Linked DNA regions of Arabidopsis thaliana. The protein of the gene in region 1 interacts with the protein of each later gene in a pairwise test. Each region holds a gene or a part of one and is shown on either strand. Other genes may lie near its edges.

What was found. The genes of interacting proteins can lie anywhere in the genome.
Region 2: the proteins of AT3G54290 (region 1) and FSD3 interact in a two-hybrid assay, tested with the Arabidopsis thaliana proteins (one large-scale study listed by BioGRID).

Annotation. Positions count from the first base shown.
Region 1 is NC_003074.8:20,103,730-20,108,205, forward strand, and holds AT3G54290 (hemerythrin HHE cation-binding domain protein), read right to left. Parts: upstream 2,487-4,476; 5' UTR 2,117-2,486; coding exon 1,471-2,116; intron 1,381-1,470; coding exon 1,232-1,380; intron 1,152-1,231; coding exon 894-1,151; 3' UTR 623-893; downstream 1-622. Other genes in the region: RGD3 (ROOT GROWTH DEFECTIVE 3), read left to right, coding at 1-74, 262-424.
Region 2 is NC_003076.8:7,848,096-7,853,175, reverse strand, and holds FSD3 (Fe superoxide dismutase 3), read right to left. Parts: upstream 2,733-5,080; 5' UTR 2,553-2,732; coding exon 2,466-2,552; intron 2,368-2,465; coding exon 2,278-2,367; intron 2,000-2,277; coding exon 1,808-1,999; intron 1,720-1,807; coding exon 1,548-1,719; intron 1,447-1,547; coding exon 1,373-1,446; intron 1,295-1,372; coding exon 1,268-1,294; intron 1,180-1,267; coding exon 1,156-1,179; intron 1,061-1,155; coding exon 935-1,060; 3' UTR 642-934; downstream 1-641. Other genes in the region: PYRD (pyrimidine d), read left to right, coding at 2,933-3,082, 3,284-3,366, 3,503-3,826, 3,914-4,169, 4,260-4,448, 4,530-4,559, 4,753-4,890, 4,990-5,027. UniProt on the Arabidopsis thaliana protein: Destroys superoxide anion radicals which are normally produced within the cells and which are toxic to biological systems. Plays important role in chloroplast development, particularly in the maintenance of thylakoids membranes.

The sequences.
Region 1 (4,476 bases):
TTAGAAGAACTGTGGGATCAATCACAGTACACAGAAGAGTACAATCTTAGCCAGTTCTTAACTAAGCTCAACGGGTAATAGCATAGCCAAGAAGCCAAGAATTTGTGTACATATTTAATTCAGCTCGATTCAGGAGAAACCAACAATTTTGACGTTCCAAACACATAAAAAGGTTACATCCACTCTTTTTTTTTGTCTCCATTTTGTTTTGTCGTCTATCTTTTAGATTCCTAAAAGAAGAAATGATTTTAAAATTATAAGAGGAGAAAACGAGAAAAGAGAAGTTGATGACATCGGAGTCGTTAGTTTTGGCAATACGACCGGTCTAATGTTTGTGACCGCCGAAGTAGTTTTTGTAGTGGATTCTGAATCGTGTAAATACGCTTTTAACCAGCTTTTCCTCTTCTGTTTCAGCTTTTTTTAGTTAGTTTCTGTTTCAAGTCTTCTTCTACTTTTTCTGTTACCTTGTTTTGTCGGTGTTCAAGTCCAAAAGCATAAAACAGGTAAAAAGAAAAAGCATTACCCTTGAGTAATCGACAAACCTCTCTAAATCGACACAAATTAAGCCCATCAAAATTCTTGAACAAATCTGTTTCAAGTCTTCTACTCCTGTGGTCTAACCATGATTGGCAATTGTTTTCACACGCTTAGAAGATTAGTCACCATTATCAAATAATAATCGAATTAAAACTTGCTGAAAACTTGGATAACCATCCTAGAAACATCTCTCGTCCTCTTACGAGTTACATAACCTATTTTTGTTTTGTTTTTAATTTAACAGAATGAGAAAACATAGCAACACCTGAATCGACAAATCTGACTCTATATACACAAAATTCACAACCCCACACACAACAACAGTTTTTCACAAAGTGAGCCTAAAAAGGATAAAATCAGTCAACAACATCAGAGCAGAGAAAAGATGAGATAAGATTTGGATCACCAAATGTCATGAGCAAGTCAATATACTGCATAGCTTCTTGTGGAGTGAGACCTTCTAGTAGGAAATCAAACGAGTTAGAATGAGTCCCACTCATAACTTCTAAGCTTTGATTCATCAATTTCTTCTGCTTCTCTTTCCCCATTTCTGCAGCTTCCACCATTGGCAATAAATCTTTCTCTTCCTCTTCAAAATGTGTTTTACACATCATCTATGTTCAAAAACAAAAACCTCAATCATTACAAAAACAGACAAAAGTGAAGCTTTTTGTTATTGTTATTTTAACTTTACCTGCAATGATTTGAAACGAGAAGCAAGACTAAAGAGAGCTTCTGAACAAATCCCAGAATCCAAAACTCCAATAGATTTGATATCTTCTTTGATACCATTCATCATTGGTAATTCTCTCCCATGTTCTTCATTTGCACTTTTACACATCCCTACACACAAATTCACAGAAATCAAAATTTCAACATTTGACAACAATAATCAAATTCATTCCCTAAACCTAAACAATTCTCTTTAATTACCTCGATCAACAGATTCAAGAACAGGGAACAAGATTCTCTCTTCCATTTGAGCATGTTCGAGCATAAGCTCCTGTAAATGAGTATAACTCTTTGCAAATTTCCTAATCTCCATCTTCGGTGTTCCCACAGACGGATCCACCGCTTTTTTACCTCCACGCGCCGCCAGATCCTCCGACCATCTCAACATCCTCTCCATATGCCACAACATACTCCTATGCTGAAGCCAAATCATCTTCACTATCAATGGAGTCGCTTCGTCGAAGCCTTCCAGATTAAACTTCCAAATCATCAAACGCGGCTCTGGGAACTTATCCTCGATGTAACGGAGAAGAACCTCTCGAGAACCTGATACAGTCTCCGATCCGACTTGAATCGTCGGTTTTTGGTCTTCCGATGGAACGAAACGGAGCGGAACTTTCTTGTGGAGAAGAGCGAAACGGAGATACGACGTCACTAGACTGTTAGGTGGTCCGTATAATCTCACTGTTGCGGTGAAGCTCACCGTCGATGTTTCTGTTTTCGCGGTGGGGATTCGTTGGGTTGGTGGTGCGGTGGCGGCGGCGGAAGGAGGAGGAGGTTTGACGACGAGGTCAAAGGGAGAGATCTCAGCCGTGGATTTAGTTGAGCTGGAGAAGCAGGTTCCCATATTTGGTGAAGAAAACGTGAGAAACGAAATCTAGAATCTCAGAGAGAGAGAGAAGAAGAAGATGAAGAAGAAGTTGGAGTGAATTGCAAGAAATTGGAGTTGGAGAAGATTGAGAGATTAGAGGCGCGTTTGTTGAGAGGAGAGAAAAAGGTATCACGCCATTATCATATTGCCAAAAGCTTTAGGAACTTTGAGAGACTTCAGTATTTTTCTTTCTCACCATTTAAGTGTTTCCCATAATTCAATTCTTAATAATGAATATTTTTCTTTGTTCCTCAAAAAAAATATTAAAGGAGATTTCTGACTCTTTGGAACCTACTTTGCTGTATCACTGGTCAAGTCATAGTCGTCATGAGTCTACACAATTATTTGTGTGATCTAACAATCTAAAACATGTTTGATTAGCTTCTTAAAAAAAACTACAATATGTAGTACTAATTTTAGATAAAAATACTTCCGACTTTTAATGTTGAATTGTGTACTGTACACTTTATGAGAATTTGAGGATAAGAGGAAGAAATCAAATGTTTTCTTTTATGGTTGTGATTTTTTTTGAGTGTTTTGTTTATGCCACCGATTTTTTCTACAAAAAGTGGATGAAGAGATCTCTGTGTAATTAATTCAAAGTGGCATCTTGTATATCAATTATCTATCAATTTTAGAGGATTCTCTATAGTTATTGCGAGATACACCGCATATGTGTAATGTCTTTGTTGAAGAAGATCTTCTCTATATATAAATCCAAAATAAAATTCAATGGTAATTAGGAAACCAGTTCTTGTTTATTTCGAAATCAATGGTAATTAGGATTCGGTTTCTTTTGGTATATTTTATAGATCTATCAAGCCATCGTAGAAATCACTCTTGGCCTCGGTTAAAATAAAAATATACATGTTTCGGGCAACCAAAAACCTTTAATGTATTTTGACAAAATGGTTTTAAGTAATACGCAACTATATTTTTGCTAATGGTGACTTGCGGTTCAACTGCGGATAAAGTGTGGTACGGTTCTAAACGAAAATATATACATATACACATATATATAGATATTTTCGTTACTATTTGAACCGTATCACACTATGCGGTTTGGTCACCATTTGGTGCAACCCTTTATGGTTAATGAACCTCATAATTTTTACTTAACATTAGCCATTTCTCCTTTTTCATGAATTGAAATTCACTTTTCACTTTACCTGAAAGAATTTCATTAATGATAGGATATCTTGTCATATACAGTACATCAATATTCAAAGCATCGAGATATGGAAGTTTTCAACAGTTATAACTTAAAACTCTTTCTTATGATCACTCTCTTGTCTCATCAGGGTCCTTACACACAACTTTTTTTTTCTTATTGAACCTATCTCTGATAGTTTATATATTCAAGTTTGATTGTCATCTGGAGATTTATCAATTATTGGATAGAATTCCTATTACTATCAACTAATCTACTCGCAGGCCCGTGCCAGCCATTTTGGGATGCCACTAGAAAGTTAATATGATCATTTAAGATTTAGCTAAAGTTTGGAAAACTGGAACACCAAAAGAGACATTCAACATTTACTACTATGGAGAGTAAACGCTCTTTACTCCAAAATCATCTTTCAGCTTATTTTGCTTTAGTTGTACATGAAACCTATAAACCATGCAGATGTATGGATCTCTAAATCGGGATCTCTAAATCGAATTTCATGGATTATGTGGTATATTTGAAAATACGTATGTATTTTATCTTTGGTTGCTTATGTTTGTTATCAATAAGGTCCCATGTTTACACTTGAATCATTCCTATATTGAATATTTAAAATCCATAACATGATTTGCTTTTTAGAAAATTGATTGGCTATAAATTCTCACCATCCTCAGTCATAGTAAAAACGAAGCCAACCATATATGCTTATTCATATCTCCCTTTATATCTGTAGACAATAGACAGAGAAGTTGATGTGGGGATAATTGAAAAGGTACGAAATATCCCTTTATGAAATTATTTCATATCCGCTTTATCAAACGAGAAACGGTGTAAAAAAACAACTAGCAGACATTACTTTGTTACCTTTTTTGTTCCTCCCATGTGATTTGCCCTACTTAACCTCACCTTTACGCTTCACCTTTTGCTCTTTGCTTCATCAGCCACAGAGTTTAAAAGCCGTAACATTCTATTTCGCTTTTGGGTCATCATTGTTTGCTTCTTCTTTTTTTCTCTGTAAAAACTTTATACAGTACCTACAATTTTCTTGTTCTTTTTTCTTAATATCAGTCGAAGCCTAAATGACATAACCGCATACACTACACACATGTATCTTGGAGATCACCATAAAGAAAATTGCTGATCGCATAGAATAGAACAGACACGGCAA
Region 2 (5,080 bases), on another chromosome or scaffold:
GAGGAAATTCAAGTAAACGTTAACTCGCTATATACTCGATTTTATGAATCTTAACAATGAATTAGTTTTGGCATCAAGGAAACATATGATCTTGATCCAAATAAATCTTGTAATCTCTGAGTTATACTAGTATCAGTTTGACCATTTAGCAACCATACAAATGTAATATGAGGACTAACACTACAGTCTTTATGGCACTGAATCTGCCAAAACCCAGGTCCTACATGAACATTGAGATTTTACAGAAAACCCACCAACCAACACAACAATCGCATTGCAAGTTTCATACAAGGATAAATTTCACGAACACAAAGCTTGAAATTGCTTATCTTTAAGAAAATTTTCCCTTTTTACTCACGCAGTTATGGGCACGACTCCTAATCAATTGTAGAAAATTCATAGACGAGGAAATGAACAGAACCTCAAGAGCCCAATCGAAATCGAGAGTTTCCGCGAGAGCGAGTTGGGAAAATCAGGGAATTACCCGATGCTGAGGGAGTTCCACAGAGACGATCGCGTGAAACTTTGACGTTAAGGAGGAAGAAAGTTTATACCTTTACGTTGAAGTGAACGATGGTGTCAATCCCTATTGTCAGGAGACGAAGAAGAAGAAGAAGAAGAAGAAAAGAAAGAAGAGGAAACGGATACTCTCAGTCACGTGCGGGTCACGTGAGCCAGCCTTCGTTTTATTATAACTTAATAAGGGTTAATTGCGTCACTAACATTACTGTCACCATACAGGGCTCACTGATGATCTTAAAGCTAGAGAGTCTCTCAAAAGGCAAAAGAAGAGAAAACTGTCGCTAAATTACACAGAACAAAAAGATGGGTCACATTCAGAAAGCAACTCTTGTTTTGTTGGTTGGGACTTGGGACTTGAGACCTCTGTTTGCAAAAATGAGACTGCCCAAGTTTCCAAGGAGTTGTGTTTAGCTTAAGCGATTGGGATGTTGGGTTCACCAAGATTCACAAACGCTTCTGCACGGGCCATCCGACTCATGGCAGCGTTCCACGACACCAAGTGGTTCAGAAATGTGTTTATATACTTAGCCCTGTCGTTCTAGCAACCGGAGAAAGAAAGAAACAAACACTGATTTAGCCTTTTGAACGAACAAAAAGAACACAGAATGGTCGGAATTTAAGCTAGGTTTTTACCTTGTAGTCCAGATAATAAGAGTGCTGCAAAGTAAGATAAGAAAACGAAAGATATTAGAAAATGTTTCAAAGTGTTTCTTGGAAGAATGACAGAAGAGAGGAGATGGTGTACCTCCCACACATCCACGCAGATGATTGGCTGTAACAACAAAAGAGATGTGATCAAGAGGTAACATTAAGTTCAACAAGAAAACTAACTAATAAAACTCTAACATACAATATCGTCCCACACGAGTGGGTTAATGGCGTTTGAGGTTTTGACCACCTCAAGCCTTCTCTCTTCCCTCTTTACTGAAATTTTCCAGAAAAAAACAAAAAGAGAATCAAAATTTTCCATTTTCAAAGTCATTCTACAGTTTAATACCAAGTGAAAAGCTAGTCAAGTTTCTCACAGACAAGCCAGACCCATCCAGAACCAAACTGAGTAAGAGCTGCATTAGTGAACTTTTCTCTAAAATTTGTGAAAGAACCAAAATCCTTATCAATCTGCTCAAGAACACCCTTTTGAGGCGTGTCTCCACCACCAGGTTGCATCGACTCCCAGAAGAAATCATGGTTATAGACCTAAACAACAACATAATCATCATCAATCCTTCCAACATTAGTGTGTGCCTCGGGTGATAATGTACAAGTTACTTAGAATATAAAGTACCTGTGCAGCGTTGTTGAACTCGGGTAAAGGATTCCCGTTGTTGTATGTAGCCTTGATAAGCTCTTCCATGGTGTATCCATAGAGTCTATCATCTTTCCCTAACTGTTTATTCAGATTATCTACATAACCTCGATGGTGTTTTCCCCAATGCACTTCTAGTGTTCTTCTACTCATATACGGCTCCAAAGCATCCTATTCACATTTGTTTTTAACTCTAATTAGAATCTCAACTATACCATCTTCTTTGACATATCACCAAGGCCCTAAAGATCAAGACACATCTACTTTGCAAGATAGAAGATACACAGATCAAGACACAATCTTTCCTATACTCACAAGACAATTCACCCAAATTAACAAACTTTCTACAGTTCCGTGCTTAGTCGAGAACAGAATTGGATTACAGAAGCAAGACATAGTTACTACACTTAGAATCCAAATACAAATACCAAAGTCTTATTTGCACTTACAAGTGGATAAGGAGGTGTCTTTAGACCGTAGTAAGCTTCAACCTTTAAACCACCTCGAGACCTAAGAGAGCGTCTTCTCTGCTGGTTACTCTATAAGGAAACGAAATTTGAAAGCTTTAGTGCTTAAAAGAGATAGATTCATGTGAAACAGAACCACAGCAATTTCCATGTCACACAAAGAAACGAACCAGATTGAGGAGCTTGGGGGATTTCAAACGTATACTAGAATCTGAAATTGTATAGAAACAGCTTGTCGTCACAACACAAGAACTCATAGTTCCTCCCACTGTTGTCGTCAAAGTCTCACTTCTGCTTCGAAAGACAGAGAGCTACTTCGCACTCTTGGTCTCGCTTTTTCAGAGAAAGGGCCTTCCTTATCAATCTCTTTTCAAACCGGTTAACATATAAGATTTTACCCCGGTTAACTACATTAAACCGGTAAATCGAACCGGAAAGATCAACCTGAAGGAAGCAAGGGTTTTAGCAAATACTCTGACGATCCTTTGTAACCGAACAACAAACAAAAAGCGTATATTTTTCTCTCTATCAAGATTCAAGCCGTGAGCTAGAAGGCTAAAACCCTCTTCTTATAGATTTCAAAGCAACCATTTTCGAACTCTGTTTGATTCCACTGTCGATTTAATCATCTTACCTAATGGCCGGAAGGGCTGCGACGTCGTCGGCGAAATGGGCGAGAGAGTTTTTGTTCAGAAGGGTTTCGTCTAATCCTCTTGGAGCTACCCGTAACTGTTCTTCGGTTCCTGGAGCTTCTTCTGCACCGAAAGTCCCTCATTTTTCCAAGAGAGTGAGTAGCTTTGATGAATTTATTGATAAATTAATCTCATTTTTGGTTTATTCGAATCATATTGGAATCTTATTCCTTAAGATAAGGAGTTGCAACTCTTGTTTTGATCTGAATATGGCACATTAATTGGTGTAGTAGAGTTAGATCATTGATGCTATTTCATTTTACAAGAGCAAAGTGTTTGACTTTGAAAATTTATAGGGAAGGATATTGACAGGAGCTACCATTGGTCTGGCCATAGCTGGAGGAGCTTATGTTAGTACTGCAGATGAAGCAACCTTCTGGTACTTTACTTAATAAGTGCCCTGAAACTTAGTCTTTTTGTTCTCTTTGTTAGTTGACATTGCTAAGGCTACCTTGTAGTTACTTTGAGGAAGTCACTTTGTTTTTTACCTCTTACCTATTTTGTGTGTTGGACAGTGGGTGGCTATTCAACGCAACAAAGGTTGTGAATCCTTTCTTTGCTCTTCTGGATGCTGAGTTTGCGCATAAGCTGGCTGTTTCAGCTGCAGCTCGCGGGTGGGTACCTAGAGAAAAGAGGCCTGATCCAGCAATCTTGGGACTTGAAGTTTGGGGAAGGAAATTCTCAAACCCAATTGGGCTTGCTGCTGGATTTGACAAAAACGCTGAGGCTACTGAGGGACTGCTAGGGATGGGATTTGGCTTTGTTGAGGTAGGCTCTGTAACTCCTGTTCCACAAGAAGGCAATCCGAAACCACGTATCTTCAGACTAAGCCAAGAAGGGTGAGAATCTCTAATCTATAAAAGACCTTCAATGATTGAAGAAGCAAGATAGTTTAAACTAAAAGACTTATATTTTGGTCCTCCCAGAGCTATTATCAATAGGTGTGGATTTAATAGCGAAGGGATTGTTGTCGTTGCAAAGCGGTTGGGTGCTCAACATGGTAAAAGAATGTTGGCTGAAACATCAGCTACTTCGTCATCTCCAAGTGATGATGTAAAACCAGGGGGAAAATCTGGACCTGGTATTCTTGGGGTCAACCTTGGAAAGAACAAGACGAGTGAGGATGCTGCTGCTGACTATGTCCAAGGAGTTCATAACTTATCCCAGTATGCTGATTACTTGGTACAAACTTCTTACCATGATATATCGAACATGAATTTGATCTAATCCACCGTAGAATTCTTTGTTCCTAATTTTCATTTTTCTCTTCAGGTGATCAATGTTTCATCACCCAATACTGCAGGACTGCGCATGCTTCAAGGAAGGAAACAGTTGAAGGACCTTGTAAAGAAGGTTCAAGCTGCTCGGGATGAGATGCAATGGGGTGATGAAGGTCCTCCTCCTCTTCTTGTGAAGATTGCTCCTGATCTGTCCAGAGGAGAGCTTGAAGATATTGCAGCGGTACGTAGTACTAAAAAAGCTAAAACACATTCTATAGTTTTCAAGTAATTGGTTCTTACAACATTGTATTGGTTTGTGTAGGTGGCTCTTGCTCTGCACTTGGATGGGCTGGTAAGTTATCCTCTTATGAACTAACTTATGTTACATCAGTGTCAATCAATGAAGCCTCCAGTCTGTTTAACGTAGTGTAGTAAAAGCGATTAAAGTGTTAGAATAGTCTCTTTTTTCGATTGTACGTATGGTATGTTGCAAATCATAAAAGCTTTCGATGATGATGATGATACTGTCTTTGTTGGTCCTATAGATCATATCAAATACAACAGTCTCAAGGCCTGATGCTGTAAGCAACAACCCCGTGGCAACAGAAACAGGTGGTTTGAGCGGGAAACCGCTCTTTGCTCTCTCCACCAACATGTTGAGAGATATGTACACTTTGACACGAGTAAGTTCTTATCCTAAAAAAAAGATGATCCACTAATCGACCAATGAACTAAAACCTTTTCTGATGGGTTTTTGGATATTTTCATGTTCTCTTCCTTAGGGAAAGATTCCATTGATAGGCTGTGGCGGGGTTAGTAGGTAAACGTCGAACATACCTCTGATGCTTTAGTTGTAAGAACAAAAGAAACACA